Coturnix japonica: one gene and its partners. The protein of the gene in region 6 interacts with the protein of the main gene of each other region in a pairwise test. Links are inferred from orthologs where the notes say so. Each region holds a gene or a part of one and is shown on either strand. Other genes may lie near its edges. The genes, in order: SMARCE1, MYT1L, DPYSL2, PAFAH1B1, TRIM2, TNIK and myomegalin-like.

The links.
Region 1: the proteins of TNIK (region 6) and SMARCE1 interact in a two-hybrid assay, tested with the Homo sapiens proteins (2 studies listed by BioGRID and IntAct). The link is inferred for Coturnix japonica from reciprocal best matches to the Homo sapiens genes TNIK and SMARCE1.
Region 2: the proteins of TNIK (region 6) and MYT1L interact in a two-hybrid assay, tested with the Homo sapiens proteins (2 studies listed by IntAct). The link is inferred for Coturnix japonica from reciprocal best matches to the Homo sapiens genes TNIK and MYT1L.
Region 3: the proteins of TNIK (region 6) and DPYSL2 interact in a two-hybrid assay, tested with the Homo sapiens proteins (2 studies listed by BioGRID and IntAct). The link is inferred for Coturnix japonica from reciprocal best matches to the Homo sapiens genes TNIK and DPYSL2.
Region 4: the proteins of TNIK (region 6) and PAFAH1B1 interact in a two-hybrid assay, tested with the Homo sapiens proteins (2 studies listed by BioGRID and IntAct). The link is inferred for Coturnix japonica from reciprocal best matches to the Homo sapiens genes TNIK and PAFAH1B1.
Region 5: the proteins of TNIK (region 6) and TRIM2 interact in a two-hybrid assay, tested with the Homo sapiens proteins (2 studies listed by BioGRID and IntAct). The link is inferred for Coturnix japonica from reciprocal best matches to the Homo sapiens genes TNIK and TRIM2.
Region 7: the proteins of TNIK (region 6) and myomegalin-like interact in a two-hybrid assay, tested with the Homo sapiens proteins (2 studies listed by BioGRID and IntAct). The link is inferred for Coturnix japonica from reciprocal best matches to the Homo sapiens genes TNIK and PDE4DIP.

What each region holds. Positions count from the first base shown.
Region 1 is NC_029542.1:4,149,943-4,154,028, forward strand, and holds part of SMARCE1 (SWI/SNF-related matrix-associated actin-dependent regulator of chromatin subfamily E member 1), read right to left. Parts: intron 2,774-4,086; coding exon 2,602-2,773; intron 1,624-2,601; coding exon 1,451-1,623; intron 992-1,450; coding exon 890-991; intron 582-889; coding exon 371-581; intron 1-370. UniProt on the Homo sapiens protein: Involved in transcriptional activation and repression of select genes by chromatin remodeling (alteration of DNA-nucleosome topology).
Region 2 is NC_029518.1:84,926,131-84,930,216, forward strand, and holds part of MYT1L (myelin transcription factor 1-like protein), read right to left. Parts: intron 3,647-4,086; coding exon 2,669-3,646; intron 1-2,668. UniProt on the Homo sapiens protein: Transcription factor that plays a key role in neuronal differentiation by specifically repressing expression of non-neuronal genes during neuron differentiation.
Region 3 is NC_029537.1:1,712,456-1,717,011, forward strand, and holds the start of DPYSL2 (dihydropyrimidinase-related protein 2), read right to left. Parts: upstream 3,102-4,556; 5' UTR 2,759-3,101; intron 2,707-2,758; exon of another isoform or gene 2,431-2,706; 5' UTR 2,415-2,430; coding exon 2,064-2,414; intron 1-2,063.
Region 4 is NC_029534.1:8,199,084-8,203,169, forward strand, and holds part of PAFAH1B1 (platelet-activating factor acetylhydrolase IB subunit alpha), read left to right. Parts: intron 1-1,106; coding exon 1,107-1,275; intron 1,276-2,334; coding exon 2,335-2,437; intron 2,438-3,115; coding exon 3,116-3,344; intron 3,345-4,086. UniProt on the Homo sapiens protein: Regulatory subunit (beta subunit) of the cytosolic type I platelet-activating factor (PAF) acetylhydrolase (PAF-AH (I)), an enzyme that catalyzes the hydrolyze of the acetyl group at the sn-2 position of PAF and its analogs and participates in PAF inactivation.
Region 5 is NC_029519.1:17,657,341-17,661,932, reverse strand, and holds the start of TRIM2 (tripartite motif-containing protein 2), read right to left. Parts: upstream 2,952-4,592; 5' UTR 2,673-2,951; exon of another isoform or gene 2,612-2,672; intron 2,124-2,611; exon of another isoform or gene 2,013-2,123; intron 1,876-2,012; exon of another isoform or gene 1,484-1,875; intron 1-1,483. UniProt on the Homo sapiens protein: UBE2D1-dependent E3 ubiquitin-protein ligase that mediates the ubiquitination of NEFL and of phosphorylated BCL2L11. Plays a neuroprotective function. May play a role in neuronal rapid ischemic tolerance.
Region 6 is NC_029524.1:17,292,676-17,297,532, reverse strand, and holds the start of TNIK (TRAF2 and NCK-interacting protein kinase), read right to left. Parts: upstream 3,245-4,857; 5' UTR 2,940-3,244; coding exon 2,883-2,939; intron 1-2,882. UniProt on the Homo sapiens protein: Serine/threonine kinase that acts as an essential activator of the Wnt signaling pathway. Recruited to promoters of Wnt target genes and required to activate their expression. May act by phosphorylating TCF4/TCF7L2.
Region 7 is NC_029523.1:4,150,691-4,154,776, reverse strand, and holds part of myomegalin-like, read right to left. Parts: coding exon 4,084-4,086; intron 3,055-4,083; coding exon 2,976-3,054; intron 2,445-2,975; coding exon 2,362-2,444; intron 2,185-2,361; coding exon 2,068-2,184; intron 1,526-2,067; coding exon 1,388-1,525; intron 1,061-1,387; coding exon 948-1,060; intron 230-947; coding exon 102-229; intron 1-101. UniProt on the Homo sapiens protein: Functions as an anchor sequestering components of the cAMP-dependent pathway to Golgi and/or centrosomes.

The DNA of each region.
Region 1 (4,086 bases), on a different chromosome or scaffold from region 6:
AACACGGCCTGCTGTCAGCTTTGAAGAGCTGCAGTTCCAGCGTCCTTGCCAGATGGTGGCAGTGGGTCAAGGAAATGCGCTCAGTTGTTCTCACCTGACCCATGTCTAAAAGATGAAAACATTCAGAAATGTTTGGGTTTTTTCTCCTTGGGTACATTCACACAAAGTATTACATACTGCCTTAGTGATATTCTCTATCTTTTTAAAAAGGAACAACTTAAAGGAAAACAAACACTTGTGTCCACCAGGGTAACTGTTCTGAATGTTCTTCTGAAATCCGGGGCACTCACTCTGGCCAAGCAGAGGCTCTATGGAGGTATTTTAATACTGATTCTTTGGGGATTCTGAAGCTGCTTTGAAATGTGGTTACCTGTCTCCATCGGAGCGCTCTCCTCTTCCTTCTTCTCCTCCATTTTGTTGGCTGCCGGCTCTTCCTCAGCTGCTGTGTTATTCTGACTGCGCTCAGCTTGCTCAGCTGCTTCCTTTTCCCTTTCCTCCTGCCTCTTGCGTGCCTGTTCCTCAGCCTGAGCAATTTCAGCTGCGATTTTTTCCATATCCACTTCCACCTTCAAACTGCACAGCTAGCAATTAGAAAAAAGCTCTTTTATTACCCAGTTACATTGTGAAAAGACAAAGCACCAAGAAAACTCAATTATTACTCGGTATCTCAACATGCAGCAATACGTGCACAATAAATATTGTGATTTGAATAAGTTTACATTAAAAGCTTCAGAAACTACAGAAGAAGCAACTCAAACGCTCCACCAGACCTGGGACACTGCAGTCATCTCATCACAGACAATACGGAACTAAATGGAAGTGGGCAGAGAATCAGTATGAGCAGGGAACCAGTAGATTGCTCAGAGTAAGTGGGGAAGGAGACTCGTACCCTTTTGAGCTCATTGTTAAAGGAATCTGTGCTTTCCAAGAACTTCCTCTTCTTCTCCTGGTGACGCTCTTCAATTTGCAGCAGCTCAGCTTCCAGTTTACGCTGGAAATGTAATAAATGTAACAAAATTAATAAATGTCATAAATGAAGCTGCTTTACTTCTGAAGAAATGGACAACAATATTCAAACCAACATTTAAACACAGACATGTTTTAAACCCTTACACCAAAATGTTTCCTTGATCCAATACCCAACATACACCAAGAAGGAAAAAAGGCTGAACAATAAATGGGGTCTGTGCGGTAAAGAACTGCTACAAGACTGCAGTCATAAGCAACCGAATCTACCAATATACCCTCTAAAAGGGTTGTGTGTAACAAGGAAAAGTTCAGCTTAAGGTAACTCTCAGTAAAAAAGGCCATGGGAAATGAAATCTCACATCTTGGCACTCCCAAGATCAGCAGTTGGAGCGCACAAAGCACAGACACCCAACAAGAACAGCACAGGGATGATCAAAGGACGCGCAACTCGGCGTGCTGCCCTCCCATCATTTATCTTTACCTGGTGAACCATTAAAGACTGAACCTGGCGTTTAAGAACTTGCATTCTGGCTGTGGTGACAACAGAGCGGACGTCAGGAACCACACTTTCGCTCAGGATCTCACTGATGAGGCGATGGTTTCTTTGGAAGCGGGCTGTAGCTGTGTGCTTCATCGAAAACCCATCGTCGTAATCTGAAACAGGAGTTGGAAGCACAAAGGCACTCATTCCCCAAAGCAAGCACTGGGGCTAATGAGGCTGCACCAACATCAGCACTGACTACAAACAAACCAAAGCCCAACACTGCTTTCTTGTGTCACAAAGTTCATCCTAAAATATTTGAGCAATTCATCCCAAATATGAGTGGATCCATCCTGGTGCTGGCACAGCTGGCTCTGCCTGCATTAATTCTGGCCCACATAGTGTGGATCAGAAATGAAAGCCCCACAATGTCAGCTGCTTGGAGCACTGAACATGTTGACATCAGTTCTGCAGTTACCTCACATGGGAAGGCGCTGTTGCCACAGGCTTTATCTCAGGGTGTAACTGAGCAGATTTTCTCACCCTCAGGTTTCAACAAGTACGTACGGGGTCACCAATTTCAAAGCAGACTTTAACTGCACAAATCTGGATTTTCCCTGCTGGGTGGGGTGCATTTCCTTGCAGTCAAATAAACTTTCAGAATTTTCTCATCAACTTGTCAACAGTGAGGATAACTCTGTTCTAAACAATCTCAATTGACTTTTGTTGAACCTTTGAAGTTCAGGTGCTCCTAATCATGCCAGAATTCAGCTTATCAGAACGACGTGCTTCTTCTGGTCATGAAGTGCAGGATTCCATTCAAGCTGGATTAAAGGAAGCGGCTCATCGTTTGGTAATTGATTTGTTAGAGCCACTACAGAGCTTTAAGCAGACGAATTTCTTTTGAACTGTCCGTATCACTTCATACACAATTAAGGGCTGGTAGATTTATCACTGCATTGCCACCTTAGGTTTTGGGAGCTGTTAGCTATACAAAATAAAAGTAGTGAAGGTACTGAAATAAAAGGAAGTCACACTCAGCACCAGGAAGGCTACACAGAAGTAATTTCTCTGTCTGGCGTGTGCTTATGCCACAGGCCCTGTGGTGAGACTGTCTCCCTGCACACACACACAGGCTGTTTTCTGCTTACCGTCTGGATCTTCTGCTGGCTGTATGCTCATGTAAGGTTCACCCTTCTCCATGCGTGACTGCCGTTGTCGGCTTTCTTCTTCTAACGCAGCCTCAGCACGACTTTTTGCATTGATGTAGGCAAGGTACGCAGGAGAGTTGTGGTAGGCCTTCATGGACTCATTGTACTCAATCTGAAAGGTGACCAATATTGTTTGATTGCACCACTGGACAATTTCAGACCTGACAGAAATAGGTGTTACTCAAACTCAGTTATACAGACTTCATTTCTGAACTACCTGACTGAGACACCACCAGATTCCCTCAGCTTTTAAGTTTTACATATCAGAACTCCTTCCACAATCATTCAGCCCAAATGGCGTTGGGTTTTTAGCTGCTTTTTACTGCTTGAGAGGTCTTAAGAACGCTTTATTTTTGTCATTTGAAGTCAAACTTCAGAACGAGGCATTTATCAAATGAACTCAGATCAAATAAAGAAGAGTTGACTTAAAATATTCTCAATAGTTCTTTGGAGTTTTATCTATGTCTTTTATTTCCATTTCTTCTCTTTCTTTATTCCAGTTATGCCATGAGCCAGTTTCCAAATAACTTATGCCTTTGCGTTCTTTGATCCATCCCTGCACTGGGATGATACAGAGTGCTGCAGCCAGACTACTGGTAGCAGGACTGCATCACTGTTTTCACTTTCTCTGAAATATTTTCCCTTTGAATTGTTTACTTTCAGGTCACTCTTAAAATTTGCCTACTCTAGAATTTGTACAGAGATTTCAGGTATTTCCAATGAAAAATGAGATAAGCTACGATCCTGGCACCAATACCTGAGGGCGTCAAGTTTCTTCATTACTAGGACTGGACAAACACAAGCAAGATGGCCCCTGCCCCAAGGAGCTTACAATCTAAACACTGCTACCAAGTTAAAGAGACTAGAATTCCTTCATTTTGTTTCAACTAAGAGTTGGAAGTACTTCTCTACTGACTTGGAATCAAACAGCTCAGGTTTGATCAGGCTGTGCACAACCAGGATGCCAGCCAGGTTTAACTACAAGGCAGCGGGTGGACAAGCTCCCCTCTGTAGTTCAGGATCACAGTAACAGTCTTGTAAAAGTCCTCAGCACTTACCAACCTAGAGACATGGCAGAGCTGTCATCTTTTGTTGTGAAGATAAAAACAAAACCAAGAGAAAACCCTACAGAATGGTATCATTTTTCGACTAAGAAACAAAACACCACGCCACAGCGTGGAGATACACCAGGTAATAGCATGGAAAGCAAACCCTACGTGACTGGAAGTCTTTTATGAGCACGTTCATGCCTCAACAGCAGTAGTTGCAGAGCACCAGTTTTGAAAGAGGCTTTTGGTGTTGAGGCAATCTTTTCAACACTGATGTTGTACAATTAAATCCATTCATTAAACAGTTAAATTCGGCACTCAATTATAAACAACTTCATTTTGAATTGGGTCTAAAAACTGACCAGTCACAGCTGAT
Region 2 (4,086 bases), on a different chromosome or scaffold from region 6:
GAAGGAGTGAATGTCAAAGGAGGGAGTAGAAGTTTTGCCAAATAGGCCTGTGCTGAGACCACTAGAACATCAAGCCCACAGCTACATACATACACAGTTCTAAGCAACTCTTCATGTCAAGAACTTTTGAATGTATAAAAGTATTAGATATGTGAAAAGGTAACATAAATGAAATACAAATTATGTAAATATAACAACATTTGAGGACTGTAAAAAATGTAGATGATTAGTAGACCATAACGGCTTTTTATAGATTTTAATATAGAAGAACTTTACCTACTTCATGTTGCCATAGCTCCACAGAGGTTAATGAAGCTATTCTAGTTTGGAGCAATTGAGGATCCTGACACTTAAAGTGTCAAGACAATTCTCTAATGCATTCAAGACTGTGCTCTAAAGTTATTGCACGTAACAGATCCTTAGGAGCCTTTATGGTCTAATGAGCCAGAAAAGATGCTGTATACTCTTCATAATTATTTCAAAACTTACATAAAATTGTAAAAATTTCCCATTGCTTTTAATGGAAGACATCTGATTAAACTTTCCATAACTTTTTTACAGAACACTGGACAATCTTCTGCAAATCCTTTATTGACAAAGGGGAGAAATATTGCATACTGATATTTAATTCTGCAACATTTTTTCACTCCTTGTCACAATGGCTATTTTGCCTGAGTGATGGTTGTTACAGGACTCAAAAGGTTTTTAAATTCACTAAATTTCAGACAAAAGCTCTAAACTGCAGGGAAAAATTAGTTAGCAGTCCCTTAATTGTTCAAGTCAGAAGTCTTGAAGTATTTTTTATTGCAAACCTGGGTACCCACAAAGTTTCCACTTCATCATATCATATATCTCTTTGGATATCTTTTCTAGGAGTATTTGGAAGATTATATGTGAGTTGAGAACAAATGATATAAGCAGCTGTCTAACTTAAAGCTTCCTTTCTCAACAGCTACCTTCTTAATGTAAGGAAGGAATCATCTTTTCTTTCTTGCCTTAATTAAAGAAAGCATACAACTAACCACTCCAATATGTTTCTCAGTCCAAACTTGCACTACATATCTTGGTCCAAACACAACATTCTTTGGCCCAAACGACCACAACACCCAGCACAGTCTTTTGGTTCCCTGGCTGGGGTCTGGACCTATTATCATTTCAGCCTGCAGCTCCTAAAGGGCAGGATGTTTCAAAGAAGCTCAATAATTTACTGGAATATTAAGTCCACACTACTTCTTTTTCTTTCTTGGGAAAGGGCACCTAGTGTGTGATATATGTGAACAATATTTAAAACAACATCCACGTAGAAATGCAATAAACTAAAGTTGTCTTTCCCAAATACCCAACATCACAATAGCCTGCACCAGACCATATATATGTATATTTAGTTAAAACCAACAACACTTTGCTACAATACATCTCACAAGAGTATATGACTAGTAATTTCCATGCTTATCTAAGAGACTGGACATTACCTTTCTTAAAGTTTTGTTAAAAAAAAAAATATCAAAACCTTTCTTGGACCAAGATGTTTTCTGACTACCTGAATGTCTCAGGAGGATATTAGTCTTTCAAAAAAGAGATATATAAAGAGTAGGAAAATGCTCAACATCTCAGTTCATTTTCAGAAATGAATCTATTATTACAGTAACAAATAGAAGTCCCTACTTAGCAGCTCCCAAGAAATAATGGCATGTCCTCAACTTCCACTAAAGTCAATGGGAATTAAAGGTGTTCGGTGAATTTCAGGAGGTATCGAATAATTTATACAACACAGCACTGCAGGTACAGCTGTAGATATGTTACAGAGGAATGTGGTAAAATAATTACACCATAACGAGGATAATCTCATAAATTAAAAGTATTCCGAAGTTAACCTTTAGTTTGCCTTTTTTGATGTTTTTTATTTTATTTTATTTTATTTTTCTTCTGTGTGTATATACTCTGTGTGTGTGTGTCTGTCTTTTATATTGAATTATGGTCAAGGCAGCACCTTAACTGTTTCCACAATGGAATGAAACCAGTGAAGTGGAATGCACATAAGAAATAAATTGCTATTGATCTCAGCCCAGGCCACACCATGCCTTGCATAGCAAATGGTTTCCATTACCTTACTATCTTAAGATAATTAATGTGCAGTCACTGCCCCTATCTCATGTTATCGGTCATTCTGATACTGTTCAATTTCTATCAGGCAATTCTACATTTTAGATGGGAGAGGCTTCATCAATAACTGTCATTTGATGATAATTTTATAAATCACAATGCCACCTACCCAATCCAACCTGTAAAATATGCACTTCAAAGCTGATTGACTACCTGCTACCAAAACTCCACTCTCTCACATTTTTAATAATCACTATAAAATATATTAAATATGAGAAAAATCTTTGCCTCTTTCAACATGATCTCTTGTTTATTTCCCTGAAAACTTATTTTTTCAGTTTAGCCAAATGATATCCACTGAAATACTGTGCATATTTCTAACATTGTAGAACAAAATAATTTTTAATATTCACAGCATGAAACTAATTTACAATCATGCCATACTACCACAATTTAAACAAATTTAGCATTTTGTGGAATTAATAAATTCATTTCAGAATTCTATGCAAAACTTAACATGTTCATACTTTCTCATGACATAACATACGGTATATAGAAATATTACCTTTACCATAATATGGCTTTTTGACATGGCCGTCACTGGGTTTAGGCTTCCTGTCATCCCCAGAAAGTTGTCTTGGAGATTGTTCCTCAAATGATCTCATATTATCCCTCCTTCCAGCTTCCACTGCCATTTTTTCTCTCATGGCTTTTGCTCTCTCTGTTTCCAAAGCAATTGCTTTCTCAAGCAGGGTTAAGTTACCTTTTGTCATATCAAACACTTCTTCAGACCTATCTGAAGTAACAGAGGTGGTATCATCGTCTCTTTCATGACAACCATCCTCCTTTGCACAGCTAGAAAAAGTCCTAGATCTGGGGCTCAACTGTTCTTCAAGCCTCATTAGGTTCATCATATCAGAGTAATTCCGGTCTGGTGTTCTTCCTTGGAAGTCATCTTCTTGCCTGACATGCTGACGAGTGTTCATGTTTTGCTGTTGATTTCTTTCCTGTGGGTTTGTCTCACTGAGTTTCCTAGCCAGATCAAAACACTGGTTCCTTAAGCACTCCAAACTGCTGAGACACACCTCTTCATCACTCTCCTCCACCATTTTTTCCGTAAGTCCATTGTTCACAGGCTTCCCTAACATTACAAAGTTCATATTCCTATTATCTTGCTGAGAAGTATTGTCTGCATAATTTCTATCATTAATGTTTTCTGATAGCACTACACCATGTCCTTGTGCTAGTAATTTAAGGGAGTCCACTGTTTCCCTAACAACATCACTGTCTAAGTCTAAACTCAGCTCACTTTTCCGACCAATATTTTCATTTTTGTCACTATCATCTTCCAGACTATTAGATGTATTGCTGTTCATTTCTGATTCTGTCCTGGCTCTGTATGCTGCATCCTCAGCAATTTTACCAAGATTTAACAATGACTTGGCCACCAGTTCATCGTAATTATCATACTCATCATTATTGTTATCGTCTTTTTCTGTGTCTTGCATTATTCGAGTATTGTGACAATTCATTTGATGGTCTTCTGCATAAAAAACAGAAACAAAGAAAGAAACAAAGAAAGAAAGAAAAAGGAAAAGAAAAGAAAAAAAGTGGCTACAATTGGAACTGTTGTTGCAATCACATGGACAGAAAACAAACTGCATGTCAGATATTGTTAATTACACAGCAATTCTATTCAACTAAGGCCCATGTGCAGTTAAGTTTTATTAAGTGAATTTCTCTATAGTCCATAAGGTTATTTTTGTTTTCCTGCTATTCACAAGAATTTATTTCACAGTACTGATAAGATCAAGACAATCAAAATGCTGATTACTACTACTGATAAAATATTATGGCATACAAACTTCAGCTTCTCTTTCACACCTCTAAATTTAGTCTTATGGGGTTTACTGCAACCAAGTTACTAACAGAACATAATTGCCTAGGTTTCAAATGTTTCTCACTCCTGTATATCCTGTAAAT
Region 3 (4,556 bases), on a different chromosome or scaffold from region 6:
CCAGTTGCAGAATTTCAGAAGGCCTTCAGCATTTCAACTCCTACCTGATTTAAATACAGTGTTGCTTTTAATGCCATTTCCTGCAGTATTTTTTAGTGTAATGTATTTGATCATATCCTAAATGCATTCCTACTAATTGCACTGAAGCAAAGCCAGCTTTACCTGCTGAGAATCTAACCATTGATTCAAGCTATAGATGCAGTCAGCTGGAAAACCATTAAAGCTAAAACACTCTCGTTATAAAGTGCCAATCCATAGCAAGACTAATAAAAGACTGCACTTACCCAAATGCACACAGTCCCTCACAGCACATCCACTGGCACCAGTGCTACACAAAGGTAACAAGAAACAACTCCAATATTTCACTATCCCATTATTTCATACCTTCACAGTTAACATTCTATGACAAGCCTTAAAAACAACCAAAATAAAGCCCTTTTACAGAAATGTGATCAATAATCTGTGTAGACATCTGATTTTTTGCCATGTTATACTTGCAGTTTTCAATATACTGTACCCCTCAATCACACAGTAATTAATCTTTTCAGAATGAATACATTACCTGTTTATATTTCCATCCTTTAGGACATCAAAGTGTTCTAAATTAGTCCTGAAAATGCCCCATATTGCAAAACCTTTGACTTCCCAAGATATATGGCCTTTATTCCTATGGTTCTCCTTTGCCAGTGTAAGACAAATAATTAACCATGGAAGGTGAGCAGAATCATAACCATATTCAAATTAAACCATAGGTATCAATAGAGGCAAACTTTCGCTTGACTTGATGAGGTTGATTGTGTAGAACTTCTGTAAATCAGGGCCTACCTTTGTGATCTCACAGTAAATCACAGCTGTTATAAGCATGTCTGGATAGAGCCTTCAGGTTACTGTAGTAGGAAAAATCAGAGAAGGGTCCGACGTGGGGAGGGTAAGACCCCAGCAATGCTCCTGGTAATACAGCAACTGAAACCAGGGAACGAGCCCATATTACAAATCCCAGGCAAACTCCAACCTTGTGCATGCAAACCATATCCCTAGTGAAAATCAAGAGGCTCATCTCAGAAGAAAGTGCTGCTCTTTAAACCCACTGGGGCAATACTCACAGAAACTCTATCCCAGTATATTACTAGAAATTTTGCTGGTTGGTGCTTCATTCATTCCAGCTCTTCCAGGCTATGCATAGGAGCCAACGCTGTTGGAGGAACACACTGAGTATTTCACGGCTCAGATATGAATAAAGCTTATTTAAATCTATTTATGGTAGGGGGGAAAAGTGTGCATGGTCAGCTTGAACCATGTGGCTTAAATGGCTTTTGCCTCAGGAAAAGGATAGGTTTATTATACAATGACACATACAAAGAGTGAGAAAATAGCTTCAGGAGTCTTAAAGGATTGGGAGGAGTTCAGTAGATTTCTTAAGAGAACAGCACATTTCTGCTAAAGTCCTGGCACGTTTTCCTGAGGCAAAAATGCCCTTTGTAGCCAAAGGCCTTCATCAAAATTGGTATTGAAATACAGCTCCCATGGGTCACTCGGAGTCTCTCCTCCCCTGGGAGGAGGAGTAGGAGTGCATGGCTGAGCTTCCCCTGCAAGAAACCTGCAGGGAATGGATCCCTGTAGGTGGAGGCTCATTGATGTTCTGTTGCTTACAAATGCGTTTCTGTTCCCGTGAGCTGCATTCACTATCTGGGTGGGGCATTTTTTGCTACCGCTGTGCTGGGGAAACAAAAAAAGTCAGTCTCTACCACCAAATGGGAAGGCAGGGCGGGGAAAGGGAGGGTGTTTGTGTGTGCAGGGGCTCCTTTCTTCTTCTGCCCTCCTCCCCGTGCACATACACACACACCTGCAGAGAGCACAAGGATAACATTAAAGGTCTGCCAAGAAGGCTGTAGTAGAGATGCTGCTCCTTAGGGGGAAGACACTGCTACATACATGCAAGTGATAAAAGCAGGAAACCGCAGGGTGGCAATGAAATATCCCTCCTGCAGCCTACTGCATGTGCAAGTTGCATCTCTGTATCAGACACACACACACACAGACAATATATATATATGTGCACCCACCTTGTCATTCAGGTTCTGCAGTGCCTCCTTCCCAGTGGCACTCCTGATCTCCACCTTTCTTCCGAAATCAACAGATGGTTCCCCTCCCTTTCCACTCTGCCTGGAATAGACGGACTGAGCATCCGGACCCAAGTGGGCAACATCCTTCTGCTTTGCCACCACTTTGTTAGATCCGCGGCCCACCGACAGGGAATCGAAGTCGATGGTCTTGTTCTCCAAGGAGCCTTCCACTGGGCAGAACATGCCACAGAATTTCTGCCGAGGTTTTGGACTGCCCGAGCCCAGGTTTTTGAAGAAGGCTGGTACTTCTTCCTCCTCTCCTTGCCGGCCAGACTGCTTCTTCTCAGCCATGGCTTGTGTGATCTCCCTGCTAACGGGAAATAATAACAGCAGTAACCAGGAGGATCCTTCACACACACGCTACACACACACACACACACACAAGCAAAAAGAGGAGGAAAAAAAGATCGCTCCGGGTCCTAGAGACACGGCAGCATCAATTGCAAAGGGCTGTGCCTGGCAAATCCCCTGCCCCCATCGATACAATATAGTCAGTGGCTCGCTCTCTTTTTCTTTGATGCAGTGCAAAGTTGAGGGAAGGTTGGGGCAGATCCTGCTGCAATCAAGGGAGGAGGGTTCAAGTTCCCAGCATCCAGATGGGGAGGGAGGGAGGGAGAAGAAAAAAAAATCCTCACTCTGCAGCAGAAACTGGGGACTGATCCGGAAGTGATGCGAGTGGTGAATTGGCAAATGGACTCGATCAGGTTGGAGCAACAGCCCCCATCGATGCTCGTCGCCTTCTCCAACGCGTTGCTATCGCTTACAAGTTACGGAGAAGCTGGAGGAACCCGAGCACCCCCCGCACCTCCGGAGGCGTGTTCCCCATGCGGGGGAGAAAGGATCGCTTCCTTCCTCCCACCACCCTCTCTCCTACCTCCCCCAGCCCCGCAATGGTGGAGTCGGGGAGTGCTCCGGGAATCCTATTGTTCCTCACTTTTCTCAAGGCAGCGCAGCCGGAGGGCGGGGAGCGGCGGAGATCGCGGCTGGGCTTTTGGGGCCGGAGGGAGGCTGAGAGCTGACTCATCTCTCTAGGGTTTGGGGCATCGCTGGTGCCGGACCTCGGGTAGTCCCTAATCGGGAGGGGGGGAAAAGGGGGGAGTGAATGGCACTGGAGTGAAAGAGACAGACAGATGGGAGAGGGGTGTGGGAACAGAGGATGAGGGAAAGATGAGCCGTTAACCAGCACTTACCTCACGAAAGGAAAATTAGTGACCTAGCAAGTCAATTAAGCCCAGGCGATGCCAGAAGCCCCCCAAGACCCTCCCCGGGGAGGCCGCCCGCAGCCGTACGGAGGAGGGGGCAGAGCGGGGCCTGCGGGAGCTGTCCCTTCAGCACCACCCGCACCGCGGGGCCAGGCCGCCTCCTGCTGCTGCAGCCAGCGGGACCATCGCCGGCTCGTTCCGTCGGGTTTATCGCTGAACACACGGCCCCAAAGGGTGCCGAATCAGAGGGAGAGTTGTTCTTGTCGTTACTATGGGGTATTTTCTGCGAGGCCGGGTGAGATGTGTTAGCTGGGGCGGGGAAGAGATGTTTTTATTGCAAAGGTAAGTGGTGAAGCACACAGTGGTGTTCATTTGGTGGTCTCTACCTGATAAACGTTATTAACACCACTGATTCAGGCTAAATCCGTGTGCAATATTGCTCTGAACCAAACCCAATCGCCAAGCTATGTATTATTATGCATTATTCATTGATATGCATCTTCACACATGCACATTAACTGGTAATTCAGAGGCATCTGTGTCCAAATGGTTACCCAGCACCTTAGCAAGACTTTGCAAGACTCAGACCAAAACAATATCCAAAGCAATAAATAAATAATAATCATGAAAAAAAAAATCTCAGAGCTCTCTCTCCCTGCAAGCAATACCCAACTCAATGCATTTTTACCAGTAGGTGGGGGGGGAAAGAAGAATCACCCAAGGTCACAACTAAGTGAAACTCCATAGTAAATGCACAACACAATACACTATGACTCCAGACTAAAAGGAAAGAAAGAAGCCTGCAGCTTGGCCTTGAATGATGATGGGGATGTGATCTGGTAACTAATGAAGGTGGGAGGAGGCCAAAGACAGACGCCCTTGGGGGGAAAGCTCCAACCCTTCCCCTTCTGGGGCCTGGATAGAAGATCAGCCAGGCTTGTGGTCACAAGGATCGCAGGTGCTTTGCTGGGAATTGGAAGCCAACATATGGTCTCTCAGGTACCCTGAAGTCCTGTATTATTTAAGGTTTATAAATATTAATGGTCATAGCATTGCTGATCAGGCAATCCACAGAAGCAGCAGAGTGCCGAAGGGCCCCAGATAGCTGAAAGCCTTGAAGTGACTGTGTTGACACGTCCTGCAGTTTGCTGAAATGTAGGCAGTGGCTTTTAGGGAGAGCCTTAAATCGAGCTCATTCATCACTTGGCACATCCTTGGAAGACGCTCAGAT
Region 4 (4,086 bases), on a different chromosome or scaffold from region 6:
GCTAAGAATGTAGCATTAGAATTTCATGGTGGATGTGTGTTGTAGTGATGAAAGATTGCTCCAGATTCTGCTTTAGCTTCATTAGGGACAGTTATTTCAAATGTGATTTCTGGTATAATATATGAATTTTGGTTTTATACTGATCCAGTTAGTATCTGCAATTATGTTTTACCGTGACTTGTGAAGAAATACTTAAGCTACTGTGGATCGGAGACTGGAACAATAAATGGGGGAATACGTTTTGACTGCTCTGTAAGAGGGCATAGGGAGCATACAGAGATGAGAGGGAAGAAGACAGTGGCCTCAAGTCATCTAAGTCTTAGAGTAGAGTGGTTATGCAGCTGTATTCTTAACTGAAAAATGGTTCTTCCCATTTATTTTAAGTGACATGTGCAGGTCCCGTGAGGTTGCTATGACTTTCAGGAGAGACTTTCAGTAATTCTAAACAATCTTCACACACCTTTATTGCAGTATACAGTGACAAGAACAGATTTGTTGTAGTAGGCAAGTAGTTTCTCATTTTAGCACCAAGCAAAGATATAATTGTGCATTTTGTTGCTCTCTGAATGTCACTGTTTAAGAGAAATTGCCATCTGTGTTGCTTTGAAAACTTATTTGGGAAAATGCAGTCCTGACAAAGGTTGAAAGGTATTGAAAGTAATGTGCTTAGAAATGTAAATTGTTCTGACAGTGAATGTGGTTATTTTAGTTGTGGTTTGGGTTCTCATCCCTAACCCAGTATTTTCTGGTTATTGCTCTGCAGTAGACGAAGTGTTTGCTGTTTGACTCTGAACCAGTGAATAGTTTCTGAAACCACGAAATAGGAGCAGGGGGAGTTTTTGAAGGTGCTTCCCCCACTAGCTGAAAACAGGCTGTGTACCAGAGTTGAGGAAAGAGTACAAAAAGATGTATAGGATATATGAGTAATGATCACATTAAAACAGTGCTTTTTTCAATGTTATTAGGCTTTTCTAGGTCTTTCTTTGTTTCTTGCATGTTCAGTTATTGAATAAGGTGCCAGACTAGTTTGTAGAGTGCAAATGTAAAGCTGGAGAATACAGTGAGTAATAATATATTACTGATAACGGATTTTATTTGCTCGTCAGGTGTGGGATTATGAGACAGGAGACTTCGAACGAACCCTTAAGGGGCATACAGACTCTGTGCAAGATATTTCCTTTGACCACACTGGCAAACTGTTGGCCTCCTGTTCTGCTGATATGACCATTAAGCTATGGGATTTCCAGGGCTTTGAGTGCATCAGAACTATGCATGGTAAGGTTTTAAGGAAATGGATTTAACAGTCTGTGAAGTAGAGGTATGGTTTTGTTTTGTGGTGGTTTGGTTTTTATGAATGAGGAAAACTGTAGATGTGGCAAGGGGAAATAAACTAGAGTTTTACTCAAAGCAAAGAGGGTTATTTTAATGCTTCAACTGTTCTGTAAAATGGAGTATATATTCAGTGTCTGTGGAATGAAATAGCATCTCAGACCTATATGCGATGCTGTGGGGAAACACCCCATAATGATACTGAAATGAAATGGCAAATACAGAGGAGATGTGCACTGAAAATGATAACAAAACTATACTGTCAAATCACTAGAAAGCTGTCTTCATCTGCACCCCTCTGTTTGCAGAATGCGCTGACTCAGGAAGTAAACAGGATGGAAAGTGTTCTCGGTATACTGTACAGTCTTTTGTTTCGGACTTGTCAGATTTCAAATGAGTGTACCCATTGCATTAGACTCAAAAGCCATAGGGGGGAAAAATGGGGAAGTAAGATAACCACCACATGGATTCCAGTTATTGACAGCAATTTGTTGTTTTGTAAACTTGATATAAGAACATTTTATACTGCTTATCTCACTTCAATATCGTCTTGTAGAAGTGATAAGCAGTAATAATGTTTGAGAATTTTTATGAAAATAAATATGCCAAAGAAAAAGACCTCATTTCCTTTGAAACATTATCTGTGTGGTGCATCATAACACTGTAATCAGGCTTACCTGGTGATTTCAAATGCAGACACATAAGCTGTGGGGTTTAGCAACTGTTACCAAGCAAATGTTGTTTTTAGTGCTGATTGTCTGTTTTTAAATAACCTGAAAGACATTTTTGAAATCCTAAAAGTTGCTCAAGAGCTGGACTTCATGGTTTCTAAAAATATAAGTGACTTCTGTAAAACTTCAGGCTTGTGTTCAGTGGTTATTCCATAAAGCATGCTAAAGGCTTCTGCTGTAGCAACTTGATCAAGATGAATGAATAGCAGATCCTGTATGCTCTGTAAAAACAATATCGTAGTACCACTTAATAAAAGTTTGCTTTTCCTTTTAGGTCATGATCATAATGTTTCTTCGGTAGCCATCATGCCCAATGGAGATCATATAGTTTCTGCCTCGAGGGATAAAACTATCAAAATGTGGGAAGTCCAAACAGGGTGAGTGAAGTTTTGGGTGAACATCATTACGTAAAGAAAACCCACAGAAAAACACTTGTAATAGGAGATACAGCATGTGCACCTTAACACAGTCATAAGTGGATGGGTTCTGCATCAAGTTATTAAGTGCAGGGTGTGCACCACTCATTAAATGTATCTGGTTTTATCTTTCTGGGAGCTGTGGAGGTATAATGCTGTAACTCAAGACCAGGTAGGAATTTAATGACTAATAGCAAATTCAGAGGGATTGTGACAAGTAGGAGGAGAAATCTGCTATCTTTCTTGAAACAGGAAGATTTTTTTTTTGCATTGTGGTCTGCTTTGTTATTCAGTAGTCTCTCCGACCCATGCATTTACTCCATGTTGACTGTAAAGGCTATCTGAATGATTTGTAAATCTCTATATGTTTTTAAAATACCTATGTAATGGAAGTTAGAGTGTCAGCAGCCTCCTGTTTTTCTCCCTTTAAAAGTATTTGCTGGCTCTTAACTGCTTGTCCTTTTTTCATGCAAGCTTCCTCCCCATGAACTGCTTTAGGGCCTTGCACATCAGTCAGGACTGATATTCCTGCTAAAGTTTAACTCGAGAGGAGGTCAAGTGTCCTTACATATCAAATGCAAGCATAGTGGCTTTATTGCAGTGCTTATATATCATTCTGTATTTCTCTGTTTTGAATAGTTACTGTGTGAAGACTTTCACGGGTCACAGAGAATGGGTGCGCATGGTGCGGCCTAACCAGGATGGCACCTTAATTGCCAGTTGTTCTAATGACCAGACAGTGCGTGTTTGGGTGGTAGCAACAAAGGAATGCAAAGCTGAGCTCCGAGAACATGAGCATGTGGTAGAATGCATTTCCTGGGCTCCTGAGAGCTCATACTCCACCATATCAGAAGCTACAGGATCAGAGGTAATGTTTCCAGTGCTAATATTTAACTTTTGAGTTTTGTTCTCAAAGCACTCGGCAGGCATAGCAGGTGTTTTGGAAGTTGGTGGTTGTTTTTTCATTTTCACTGCTTATACTTGTTGCACCGTTAATCCCCCATCTTGGCTTTGTAGTCACTGTGCTCTTCTTTTAACAGTAGGGCCCTACCTATGCACTGATGAAAGGGACATTTAGAGAGAGGCTCTGTTTCAGAGAAGGCTGAGAGTTGGACCACGCTGGCAGACTTCCATGAAACAATGTGAAAGGCAGCTCAGCTAATGTAATGTGAACATTGTGAGGATACCTGGCAGTGAAAGGTGTGGGGAGAAGAATAGCAAGTTAAAAATGCAGAAATGAATCTTCCTTGGGTGTAATTCAAAATGCTGTTGAAATTAGATTAACCTTTGACCTCAGTTTCCTAGCGTACAAAGTTAATCACATGAGGAAGCGTTCTCAAAAGTCTCCATTTGTATGGTCATGGATGAACATTCTTCGGCTTGGTTACTAAATCTTGAAGAAAGGCTTACCAGAGGTTTACACAGATTTATTTCCTTTTAAGGATGACACTGTAGAAGTAATTTCAAGCTTAAAAAAGACATAACAAAAAGTCAAGAACTTGTCTACTCATGGACTTAACAGATGATTTCAGTCAAATGTTACCTGCATCCTTAAAAGATCCTCACAATCTTTTTATTAAAAATAATGAAATTAAATTCCAAATGTTTAC
Region 5 (4,592 bases), on a different chromosome or scaffold from region 6:
AAGGTATCTGCGAGAAGCTGACATCATCAAGCAGTCAGACTTCAGTGCCTTCAAAGTAAGCTACAAAGCATCAGTGCATGTAATTACAAATGAGGCTTCACCTCCGGGCTGCAGCACCAACAACTGAAGGAGATTGTTTAATATTCAGTGTGTACATGCCTAAAAATCATTGCACACACTATCAGAATTTCACCATCCTGCTGCACATCAATGAGCACTGATTAGTTTTGATCAAAATCAATTTATATTGTGCATAAGCGATCTGGGAGGAAAACTGGCATTGGATGTAAAGTGCAGAAGCAAAGGCAAATAGGCTGCTTTTTTTGGACATCTTTCTGGATATTGCAGAGCAGATCTTCAATGATACAGCTCTGAAAATGTTTATCCACCCCCAGATCTCCCCAGAAGAACTTCTGAAATAATTCAGGACACATATGTATTATCTCTTGTGTGCTTTATAGATTTAGGCAGCAGCTTTCAATGTTTAATCCAGGCAAGAAGTAGATTAACTGCCTTCAGCTGAAGCCTTCCAGCTGACAACCCTTTTCCTATGCACATGGCATTTGACGTCTGCCGTTTTAACATTTTGACATTTTTGTGAGTGACATTGTCCTCAAAGCTCACTGCTTGCCTCAGCAGCTGGCTAGCTGTCAGTCAGGCTCAAGAAGATTAGCTCCACAGCTGTCATCAGAAATGACCATTTTCACAGCTTAGTTTCATGGAAACTACAAATTTCTGATATATTATATACATATATATATTTTTTCTCCTGTGTATGAGGAAAAAGGGAGAGGAGAGGAAGAGAAGTTCCAAAACCTCTTTTCAGCTGTGACAATGAAGAAAAGCATTTCTATGTATACATCTTCAAAATGAAGCTGAAGTACTAAGAAGTAGCTTTAAGACAAAAGGTGAACCAAACATACAACCTGCTATTAGAGACACAGTAGTAGTACTATGAATATCTTCACACCTTTCCTTACGGAGAACAAGTCTCTCTGTAGCTACTTAATGGCTGTCACCTGTTAACTGTTAGAGTTTTTCAGAAGGCTTGTAAAAAGCCTACAGCATGCCTAATAACAAATCATGTAAACAAAGCAAGAAGCATGACATAGCAACACAAACAAACCAGCTATATCCTGTATTTCTCATGCAATTATCTGATACATATAATTGTTTTCAATAAGCAGATTTAATTCACAGCATAAGAATTCACGACTCATAAACCCCATAGGACAACGGTACTACAGAAGCTTTGAATAAGAAAGGAAGTTAAACTTGATGCTGTTTCTTTCTTAGCACAAGATCAAAAAACCCCACTAACAAGTGCTGATTCTCTTCTTTATGGTATCACTGCAACACCGAGAAACCTAAAACTCCATTATTTCCCAGCCACCTTACTGTCCTGCCTCCATGCCACACATCAGATAAACATTCTTTTCATCTGCAAACAGAGTAAAATGGGTTAAAAACATGCACTACTCACCGTAATATGTTCATTGTTCTTAGCAGGTCAGATTTGTGCCCCTTATGATGATTATTTGTTTGCACTTCCCACAATAACACTGCTAAGATTTTTAATAAGTCCAGTTCTACATGTATGAATTTTTAAAGGTTCGAGGTGAAAAGTACCATGACAGAGTTCTCTCCTGCATGTTCACAGCAGCTTGTTAATGTTGAAGCTTCTTTCTCACTGCGTATCTGCTATTATCTAACATAGATTGTTTTCTGCCTCTCTAGAAGTACCTCCTGCATTTTCTTAGCTTCTCCCCTCACAAAATGGCAAGCAGATGTCCCCAAAAATCAACAAACAACTGCAAGCTATTTGTTTCGGAAAGCTTTCATACATCCCTTTCTCTCAGCAGCCTCTCCACTGAAAGCCGAAACAATACTGCAGAGAAACACTCACTCCCAGGATGTTTTCAGCTTTGGTCCCTCTGCTTTTCCAAGCAGAACACCAAGGTAGAAATCACAATTAGCACTCTGAAAGCAACGCACAGGCAAAGAATACTTACATTTGCCACTGTATTTGTAATATTTGTGCACTGTTCCAGCAATGGGTGATTACAAAAAGGAGAAAGAGCTTTTTAGTCTGTCTTTCAAGCCTCGCAGCAGTGAAAGGAAGGCTGTTATCTGAAAGCTACTGATTTTCTATATGCTGTGCTTGCTTCCCATGCACATACAACATAGCCGCCAGATTTAATAACCATGTCAGCCTGCTTTCTCCATAAAGCAGCAGAGAGATGACAGGATGAAGATGAAGTAGTCAGCATGTTAATCCATAGGCCACATTAAGCTTTAAATGTATGTCATCATTTTATTTCTCTTGCAGAAAAAAACAAAACCAATCAATGCTATTTGCAAAGAAAAACCATGTGCAAAAGAGTTTCAGAAATATGAATCTGTACTTGTCTTCAGTGACACACACTACATTAAAGAAACGGCTCTCTTTTTATCAATTAACAAATCATAGGCGTTAATTTCTTTGCAAGGCACCCTGATCTTTAATCATACATTTTGCCAAGCCACATGTGCTCATACCCCAAAAGAAGAAAACCATTATCTGACAAATTAGTCAAGAATCACTCCTCTTCTGAAGGAATTATTTCCATACCTGTTTTTGCTGACTTCTTTCAGAAAAGCAGAGTTAACAAAAGGGGGAAATTTCCATTTACCATTTAAATCCTCCCACATACAGCGGTTCCTAGAGCTCTGGACTTTCTTATCAGATGTGGTCACTTCAGTGTCAACATGGAGCACTCCCATACCTCCATCTGCACAACCAGTTCAATGGAAAGGAGGGGCAAGCAGAGTTTGTGTGCCAGGAGAAGGTGCCAGTCATACAGTCCAAATCTAGGAACTAGAAATAAACCCAGAAGTGTACGGCCGAATTTACAACAACGCAGGGATGCTGCAGAGGTCTTACAACATCTGTGCATGCCTCTTTCTCTCTCATTTATATTCCTTTCACTTCCCCGGAGGCACCTGTCTCAGCGGGGAGTGGTTTCTGTGGAAACTACCAATAGTTGGTTTTGCCCTTGGAGAAAGTGTTACTATAGCAACCTTATGTAATGTATATGGCCTAGATTCTTGTTCATAATAAGGTAATGCTGAAGTTCTCATTATAAAATTGGAGCAGATTTGTCTTGGAGGCAAGAAACATAATTACCTAAAAATTATTTTTAAATGTGAAATTCAAAGCACAAATGATATTGCAAATTAAATGAGAGTGTAGGGGGCACTATCAGAGCAACACTCACAAAAAACAAACAGAGAACCTTCTGAATTCCAGTAAACAAGGTCTGTTATTTTGTATTTGTGGGAGGTGAGGAGGAAGGAAGACATTCAGCTGACGTTAGGTCTCAGCACAGCAATCAATACTGCATACTGAAGTGCGGAGGATTTTTCAGCTTATTTATTCTTCCAGCAACAAGGATCTCACTACATCTGCTCTGTTCAAAACTGAAACATCAGCCTCACTGTTGCTTTATTGCACATTATGAAATGGTGCCGCATTAAAACTGAAGGAAGTTCCCAAAAGGAGCTGTATGAGTCAGCGAGGCATAGCACACAACAGAGCAGAACAGAAAAGGCAAATTGCTGTTTATAATTGCTGAGCTTTCTTCTCAGCTGAGAAGACAAACCTCTCCACAACCACAGCAGGGAGAGCAGATCAATCAGATCCTACCTGGGAGATGGGAAGATGAGGACCCTGGTACTAGGGCTGTGCAGGCTGAGAAGGGTTCTAAGTCAGCAGCTGAAAACCTGCATGGCTGGGAATGACATGAAGGGGTGGTCATGTAACAGACAGTTAGTGACCCCTGTGAAACAGGTAGAGGGTGTGCCTTCCTGCCAGCTATGCCTGTAGATAGCTTTTTTTACTGGTAAGAGACATGCAAGCCAAACGTTTAAGAAATCGGAGCTCCCTGTTTACACAACAACTATGACTTCAGTTTGAAGAATATTGCTGGGCAAGAGTTGTGTTTTAACCTGGCAGGTTAAACACCACATGGTCACTTGCTCACTTCCCTCACCTCCCAGTGAGAGAGAGTCAGGAAAACAAGTAAAGTATAACTTGTGGGTTGAGATAAATCTATTTTCTAAGATAGAAAAAAGAAAAAGGATAACAATTATAATTTACATATATATATATATATATATATATGAATGTATATAACAAGTGATGCACAAGCAATTGCTCACCACCCCTTGACTGATACCCAGATAGCTAAAATCCTTGGGCACTTTGCTAAGAATGGTCTTGGCTCTGTACAGCACTGCTTCACGGCAACTATAAATATCAGTATGTTATCAACATTGCTTTTCCCCTAGAGCCAAAACACAGTCTGAAGAAAACAATTCCACCTCAGTTGAAACTAAGACATGAGTAAAATCCTACCTTTGAGGTATCTGTGTTGTGACTCAGCAGATCACTATCACTTCAGACCTGTTGATCTCACAACTCTTACTAGCATAACATGCATTAATACACATGGGCACTGATTTTTCTCCTCTGTACATACTCAAAAGACAAATGAGCAACCAGCCTGCCTACAGAACATTTTCCAAAAGCTTAACTCAGATCCTCCTGCACT
Region 6 (4,857 bases):
CTCAGCTGTGCATGCAGCACCATGGAGCACAGCCTGCTGCAGCACTGCTCACATGCGTTCTCATTTTCTTCCCAAAGAAAAAAACAACAGCAAAATCTGCTCTGTCAACAACCTGCATAAATCCCTGCATTAATCATGATTCTGCTAATAGCAACGCCAGGCCGTGGGGCTATTCACCATGCTGAGCAGACCAGCAGAAATACCTCCCAGCCTGGACAAAAGAACATTATAATGCAGTTTATCTTATCCCCTTGTCAGTGTAATACGCAGCACTACCTGTTCAATGGCCTCATCATTTTAAATTACAGTTTTCTGCAACATTAACAGTGCTCATTACCAGTGCTACGAAGACCTCTATTGTAAGAGCCCTCCTGATGCCAGAGCTTCTCCCTGCAGTCCTCGCTGTGCTGACACAGGGGACACCTGGCTACCATGGCAATGAGCGCAGGATAACATGATTGATAGAAATATGTTGCAAAGGAGGCAGAAGCAAGCCCGAGGTGTGCTCCGAGCTGCAGCAGGCCATGCACTGCAGTCAGAATTTGGTGCTTTGTTCCAGGCTGTGAGTGCATGAAGCAGCACAGCTCAGCCAACATAAACCCATGTAGCAAAGCACAAGTGCACGGGGGCTTTGGTGTCCCCTCTGCACCCAGCCCTGCACACACCTTTGTGCTCCATTCGGATGGGGCATGCTGGCAGAGGTCCACCTTCTTTATTTCTTTATAGGTGTTGGCATGTTGTTCTTCAAACCCAACCTCCTGGTACACCTCAGTGACTCAAACTTGGCGATAAGCAGCCCAAGAGCTTCCTCTCCCCACTGCTAAGAAGAAACTATTCTCCCCCCTCCTAGATTTTGAGTCACCCCAGCAGCCACCCCTCACCTCTCTGAGCAGACACAGCAGCAGCTCCCCCACCCAGACCCATCCACAGCACCAATCCCGACATTCCTCTCATCTTCCCATAAATGACATTTTGCAAGGCTCGGGGAATTACGCCCTGCTGCCGAGTTTTGTGCTCAGGCAGCAAATTTACTATTGATTTCTGATTCAGGCCCTGCAGAATGATTCACGCTTCTTGCCCGATCTGCTGAATTTATGACCTTTAACAATTATTCTAAGTGCTAAAAGAGCTTGGTTTGGAAGAAGATCTATTCCCTGGCAAATTAAAGCCCTATTCTTGTCTCCCTTATAAACCAACATATCTCTCATGATTTAAAAGAAAGCACCGTAACAGGTCTCTCCCCCCATCAGGAGACTGCCTCCTGGATACAGCCAACTTCTTCTAATCCTAATCTTATAGTGGGAGTCCAAAAATCCCAACTATATAATGGTACTCCCCAAACCCCCTTCCTGCAGGAGTAGCCCCCCTATGAAACCCTCCCAAGGGCTGGGCTGGGAAGTGGGGGGGCTTCGTGTTTTCATGCCCTGGGGGCTTGCAGACAGGCAGGGGTAGAGATTTCCTCATAAAATGAAAACAAAATCCAGGCTGCATCTTGAGCACAACACTATTAAAAAGCCACAAGAACAGAGGAGCTGAGCACGTGGGGGTAGTCTTAAAAGGAACTAGTGACCTGGTTCACATACAGCTAACGCTGATGGTTAAATATAGATACATACACGGCTAATGGGGGTGGGGGAGAAGCAGAGGGCCCTCCCTTCCCCCCCCAAGGACACCTCTACCCTTGATTAACCCCAGTGGTTCCAGCTCCCTCCCACCCAGCAGGGAAGGGACCACTGCAGGTCCCCTCCCCACAGGATGGCGATGGGTCCCAGCCTGCTGTGCACCACGTCCTGCTGAGCAAACACTCACACTATTAATCAGCCAGAAACTCACCAGGAAAAAAAGTAGGGCAAGTGAACAAAGACTGATTTTTGTTGTTGTTCTTTTTTTTTTTCTTTCCACTGAAACAAATACTATTTCTGATTCTAAAAACGTACTCGCACTTGTCCTTAGCTGGTTCTGCTACATTGTATTTCTTTCTCTACGCCAGCAGGTTGATGGAAGCAGCCTCCCATCAGCCTCCCACCCCCAGCACTGAGCTGCTGAGAGCGAAGGGATGGAGAGGAAAGGGGAAAAAGGAGAAGAAAAAAAACAATAACAAAAAAAAACTTGCAGGAAAAAGGCCTTGGGGGTGGCATCGGGCCACAGGCGGAAGCTGACACGTTCGACATTTCAAGGGTACGGCAGCAGGACAGCGATATCTCAAAGAGGGGAAGAGAGGAGGGGGCACAGCGGGCGCTGCGTGGGAAGCGGTGCGAGCATCCGCATCCCGCATCCCTCATCCGCATCCCACGTCCCTCATCCGCATCCATCCCGCATCCCCGGCCGTGCGTCCCTGCGTGCGATTAACGGAGCGCGACGAGACGCGGCGCTGCCCGTCCCCGCTGTGGGCGGGGGGAGCTCCGCGCGGCCCCCACCCCAAATCACAGCGGGGAGCGGCCCCACGGCGCCCCATAGGAGGGGCAGGAGGGCACTGGGCGTACACACACACACACACACACACGGAGCCGCGTGCCCGTAGGGTGCGTACACACATCAGGGGCACGCGCATATAGACGTGCGTGTGTGCAGAGCCACATTTCCATGCGTGCAGGCTGTACGCACGTACACTTACATACATGGGGGGACATGTACATGCTTTATCCACGCGTTTACACACACACACACGGACACAGGCACGTACGCTTGCACAGGAGCAGATGTACATGCACGTACATTAACACACACGGACAGACGCACACATGTCCATACCGACACGCACATGCACCTCCATAGGCGCAGGCACGTCCGCACACACAGCCCGGCGCTCCCGCACGTGTGCACCGCCCGCAGCTCGGCCCCGTTCCGCCCCGCAACCCTCAACCCTCCGCCGTGCTCCTCACCCGCAGCGCCGAGAGGTCGATCTCGTCCAGGCTCCGTGCCGGAGAATCGCTCGCCATGTTTCCTCCGCCGCCTCCGGCGAGGCGGCCCCGCCACCACCGAGCTGGCAGTGGCGGCCGGCGAGGCGCTAGAGCTATTTAACGCCTCCCCTCATGCGGGGCTGCCGGGGAGGGAGAAGCTGCCGCCGCCGCCCCTGCCCCTCCGCCCGCACCGCGGCACCTAGGGGCGGCTATAGGGGCCGCTATGGGGCGGCTATAGGGGCTGCCGGCGGGCAGGGCACGCCGCGGGCTGCGCCGGGATGGCGGCTGCGGCGCCGCATCGCATCGCATCGCCGCCCGCCCGGCCCAGCTCGCCGCCGGGGCCGCCTGTCAGTCAGTGATGGGAGGGAGGGGGCGGGCAGGGGGCGGGCGGAGGAGCCACGCGTGGGGATCGCGAGGCCTTTTGTCTGCGTGGGGCCGCGCTCCGTGTTGGGGATGGGGAGACGCTGCCCGGCTTTGTACGGCTCCGTGCGCGGCTGCGCCCCGGGGTTGAGCCAGGTATCGCATCCGCACCCCAAAGTGACCCCAAGATGAGCTGTCCCCAGCCATCGGCTGGGTCAGTGTGTTGCATTTGGCCGAGAGCCGTCGTCTAGAATTCATAGAATCGTTAAGGTCGGGAAAGACCTCTCAGATCATCCAGTCCTGTCCATCCACCACTGTTGCCCACTAAACCGTGTCGTAAAGTACTACATCTGTTCTCTCCTGGGAAACCTCCAGGGATGGTGATGGTGACTCCACTGATCCCAGGGCAGCCTGTCCCAGTCCCCATGTCTGACAGCTCCTTCTGGGAAGAAACATTTCCCAGTACCCAAAGGCAGCCTCTCTGCTGCAACTTCAGGCCATCACCCCTTGGCCTATCACTGTGAGCATTGGCCGACCCCCACCTCGCCACAACCTCCTCTCAGGGTGTTATACAGAGCACTAAGATCTCCCCTGAGCCTACTCCAGACTAAACAACCCCAGAAATGGCCCAAACCCCTCCACGCCCCACTAAGCAGACTCAGCACTGAGTGTTTTCCCTGTTTCCCTTTTTTCGGATGTAGTTTCTGCCAACCCAGGTGCCATGTATAAATATATATGTATAAAAAATCTGTTGCCTTTGAGAAAACCGTATGGGAGCTGTGCTGACAACATCAGCTCTCCCCGGCTCATGTCAGGATCTCACAATATGCAGAGCTGGGAAGTGGAAACCCTACACATGAGTCAACTGGCAGGCGGATGGGGTTTTCTTACACTTTGGGCTGGAGATGCGCTTTGTGCATTGCAAACGATCGCAGTTCATTGCAGGGAGGGTGGCAGTGAGGGGTTTTGGGTTGGGAAGCAAAGCCTGGTGCATGTGAGGTGCGTGGATGGGGTCACAGTGTTGGATGGCTTCATTCCCTTCATCCAACCCACAGATCCTCTACGTCTTGTGCAATGATCGGTCCTCAACTCTTTTAGTGCCTCTCTGTATACGCTCCTTCTGCCAGGAGCATCCAAACAAAACCTTGCAATTGGAGTTGTTATGACAGGAAGCAAAGCGCTCTGTTGAATCAGCCCAAAATGTTTTGCTGTGAGTCAGTTGAACACAAAAGTTGCACTTCCACCTGACGTGCCAGAGCAGGAGCTGGGGCACCTCTCCTACAAACAGCTTCCTGAGCTCCTTCCCCACCCCATGCTCAGCTCTGCAGAAACTGGGACCTTGGTGGCAAAGTGTTTGTGCCATTTCACCCCCTTTTGGAAGACAGAGACATATAACAGCATCAGCTTTTCCTACAGGATGAAGTCCCCAGCCTTGGTCAGTGAGCACCTTAATGAGCCAAAAAGAGCTCACCTGTTGGTGGTGCAGGGCTAATGTCGGGTCGGTGGTTTTGATTTATTCATTAAAGGGCATCAGCTCACATATAAACTATTCTGTTCAGTTGACCTCTGCATAAAATTAAATATAATCACCCAGCAG
Region 7 (4,086 bases), on a different chromosome or scaffold from region 6:
CAGGCTCGCTCAGTTAGTGAACCATTTCCGTGGCAGGCGGGCGAGCGCTAGTGCTCAGAAGGCATGCTGGGGTAGGACTCTCACACGCTCCTGTTCCCCACCTCCTATGGGGCCCTGTGTGTCCAGCCTGCTCAAACGCTCCAAGCTTCTTCCAAGAGCTTCTTCCAGCTGTCCCCGCAGCTCTTGGACCCCTTCCAGCTCCACCTGCAGAGTGCGGTCTCTCGCAGCGCTAAGCAGACATACCACACAGAAAGGAACAGTGTTAGATAGGTGCAGCAAGTGCACACACACCAAACCGGCTCCTCCATCCAGGAGTTCCACTCACCGCAGGTGCAGGCCCTGCACACTCCCATAGGTGGCTTGGACACCTCTTGCCTCACATCACAGCCTCCCCAGAGCCCAGCCATCCCCAAAAAAGGCTCCAGCTCATGGTAGGAGACCCCTAGTCACAGCTGTTCTTCAGTACTTACCAAAGCACTTCATGTACGTGCTCTCTTGCAGTCAGGTAGCTCAAATATCCCAGAGGCTGCAGCCCCATGAAGGGCAGGGGATTAGCACAGAGGACAAAGAATGCAGTGGTATGCAACTGTGGGACAGCCTCCTAGATAAGAGCCTAGACACATCTCTATCAACCCAGCAGTTGGTGAGGAATTTGGCAGGGTGAAAACGGCAGCCTCTGAAATATGGCCAAATGTGTGTGGGAAACTGAGCAGGGACTGAGTAAGCCAAGGAACGGGGATGGAAACCTCAGGGCTTGAACAAGAGACAGCAACGGGAGGAGGTTATGTATCATTTAAAGCTGGCCACTGCAATCTCCTTAAGGAAAAGAGGTAGCCTAAGATCTGGACTCCTAAAACAATCATTGCTTCAGGAGTTGCCCCACTGGCCCACGCACACAAATCCCGGCAAAAAACAGGGCAGCATGGAGCCAAAGCAGCTTTGCTTACCTGTCTGGGTGTGTGTGAAACTTTACCAGGCTGCTGTAGAGCTGCCTCTCTGCCTGGAGAGCCTCATTTAGCCGATTTCTCTCAGCCACCAGCCCTTCCAGCATCAGTAACAACTGGTCAGAGAGAACAGAAAAGATGTAACACATAAGTCAAAGGTACTGGCTGCTCAGGGATATGGTGGTCTCCCCTACCAGATGCACCAACACCTCTCCTGCTTGTATTGAAGCAATCAAGTACTGCCAACCCTGGACACCATCCCCCAAAAGTCTATACCCTTGAGACAAAAAAGGGAACCAATCCTTTGCTTTCCCTATATTATATGCAGCCAGCTTTAAAGAACATGCACACCTCAGCATATCCAACAGCTGAGAATAAAGCGCTATAACTGAGCACCAGATAAAACACAAATACATTCAAACTTGCCCTGCAGGACACACTACCTGCTGCCTTCTGTTTCCAGTAGCCTCTTGTCCTCTCGACTCTGCTACGGCCACTTTCTCACGAAGTACCAGCACTTCTTGTGTCAGCCGTTCCACTGCTGGAATTTCTTCAGGATCTACCAGCTGCATCTGCAGATCCTGAAAAGCAAGAGGCAGGAGGGATCTGTGGAGAAGGGATCAATAACAAGGACAGCTGGAACCTTGTGACCCTCCATGGAATGCAGTTACCAACATTTTTCCAGTGTTAGAGAAGACCCTGGTCTCCTAAGAAAGAAATGCCAATGTATCCAGTGTGTATTAACCATAATCAACTGCTTGAAGCAAGAATTAGGAAGGAACACAACATCTGTTTAAAGTGCTCAAGAAAGTTGCAAGCAAGGAGCAAAAAGTCTAATAATGACACTCTCAAGATTTGGGGCCCATAACTTCTGGCCCAAATCGGAGGGCTGTAGGCAAACCAAAAGCAAAACTATACACAAACAGCCATGTTACTCTGAAGAGGTTCCTTGCATTAGCAGACATACTTGGTCATAGATAATCATAACAAGCCTACAGCTTGGTTTCTGATGTCTTGTCATTCATTGGAAATGAGTAACCATGAAGGACAGGATGTGGGGAAAGAAGAGACACCTCTGCAGCCATCTCAGAAGAAGCTGACCCAGCAAAGCATGTTACCTCACCTTGATGAGGTCCTCTTTGATCTGGATGGTTCTGGTCAGAGACTCTATATCAGAAGCCTGCACCTGCAGCTCTTCCTCCTGCGTGGTCACAACAGACTGGAGAGCAGCAAGCTCCCGCTAGGTACAAAAGAGGAGAGTATGAAAAACTTCAGAAAGGTAAAACCCCACTGTGCTGCCCTATCTCTCACTGAGGCACACTCATGTTGGGGAGGGGGGGTCCAAAATCTCTATAAGGGACAGCCCAAGGGTTCCCTGCAGGCAGGAAGACCACCACAGGCTTCAGCACAAACTCACTCTGCTCTCCCTTTCTTTCTTTGCCATTAGCTCCAGTTCCTCTCTGGCATTAGCAAGATCCTTCTCCAGTTCTGCTGCTGATGCTGCAATTGCAAGGACAGTTGGATTACTGCAGTGTTACCATATGTCAGCTGCTCCCTCTGACTGCAAGATTAGACCAGTCCACAATGATTACACTCCCCACCACACCACCTCTTCTTAAACACCTTTCTTCCCTACTTAATTCTTAAACAGCAGCCCAAGACAATAGAAATACCCCAGGCCTCCTGTCTTCACTCCATCAAATATGACATGTCCTGATCTTAAGGCACAACCCAAACCAGCTGCATTATTCTCATTCTAATCTGAACCACTAAGTCAAAATCCCTACCCTGAACGCTACAAAACTTCTTGCAATGAAGAAGTAACTCACCTTAAATCAATCTCTCTCTTTTCCACACACCCACCCCCAAGACATCTGTGAACCTTCATCCAAAGGAGAGGCACAGTTTTATTTCAACACACTTGCTGTTGCTCCAAGCTCGTCACTCTCTAATGGCTTCATGTAAGCATGCTTACCCCACAGCAAAAAAGTCCTGACTTGTTTGAGGACCTTGAGAGAAGCTGTCACTCACCTTCTTCTGTCAGGCAGCTGTTGTCCTGCTGTGGGGGTCCAGCAAGGGCTGCAGCTCCACAAGCTCTTTGCAGTATTTCCTGAAAACACAAAAACCTCCACGTTTGCACCTTTACAGAGAACCTCACAGCTACCCCAGGGCCCATTAGGACTGCAGCAAATCTGCTGGCTGCTTTGTTGATGCCTCTAAAACATGACAAAGCAATAACAGGAACTAGTCAGACAGCAGGGACAAGAGAGTTGCACACAAGATGGAAGCTGCATGTTTGGGCAACAGGGCTCTAGCCTTATTTTATTTCTCACTAAGAGGCTGCTGGCAGTAAGCTTCATTATAGTCAGGATTAAGCAAGTTTTGCTCAACTGAAGCAACTACAACTTTCAACTGAGATTCTGCACAGACCTATATCTTCATCCAAAGATGTGGCCCAGAGGAACTGTGCAGGTAGGAAAACATAAAGCTTGGCCCAAATATCACATATTGGGATGTCTCCAGAGCTCACTTTCATCCTGGGAATAGAAGTGAGCCACCTGCTTGCAGCTGCTTAAGAGCGTTCAACATGTCATCTCACCGATAAACCATTAACAGCTGCTCAAGCAGGAACAGGGCTTATGTAGCCTTACAGTTGTGCTCAGCCTCAAAGGGTTTTTTAGCAAAGCTGCTTTAAAAATACCAACCCCAATTGTGGAAGAGACAGTAAACACCCAGCAGGCTCTGCCAAGAATTAGTGAGACCTAAAATTAGCTCCCTTGTCCCCTCCAGAATGTGACAATGTCAGGGAGGGGATTACAATAAAGCAGCACAGCCCAGCCCAAGGAAGGACTGGGACAGTGCTGGAAGGTCAGGAGGTGGATTTTTTTCATACTCACTTGTGCTTATTGCCTGATCAAAACAAGAGTGACACTGAGTGACAAAAGCCAGTGGAATCAAGGTCAGAGTGTCCAGGCAACATTTCTGCTCCTCAGTTCCTCTGTCCTCCTAAACCTCTTTCCTAATCCCACTTTCAGTACTATCATTCCCTGTGGCACTCCCCTATCTCAGTTCCTCCCGTGGCAATAAGCTCCCTCTGGAGCCCCAAGGCCACAGGAAAAACACTGTACATGATCCTTACTTG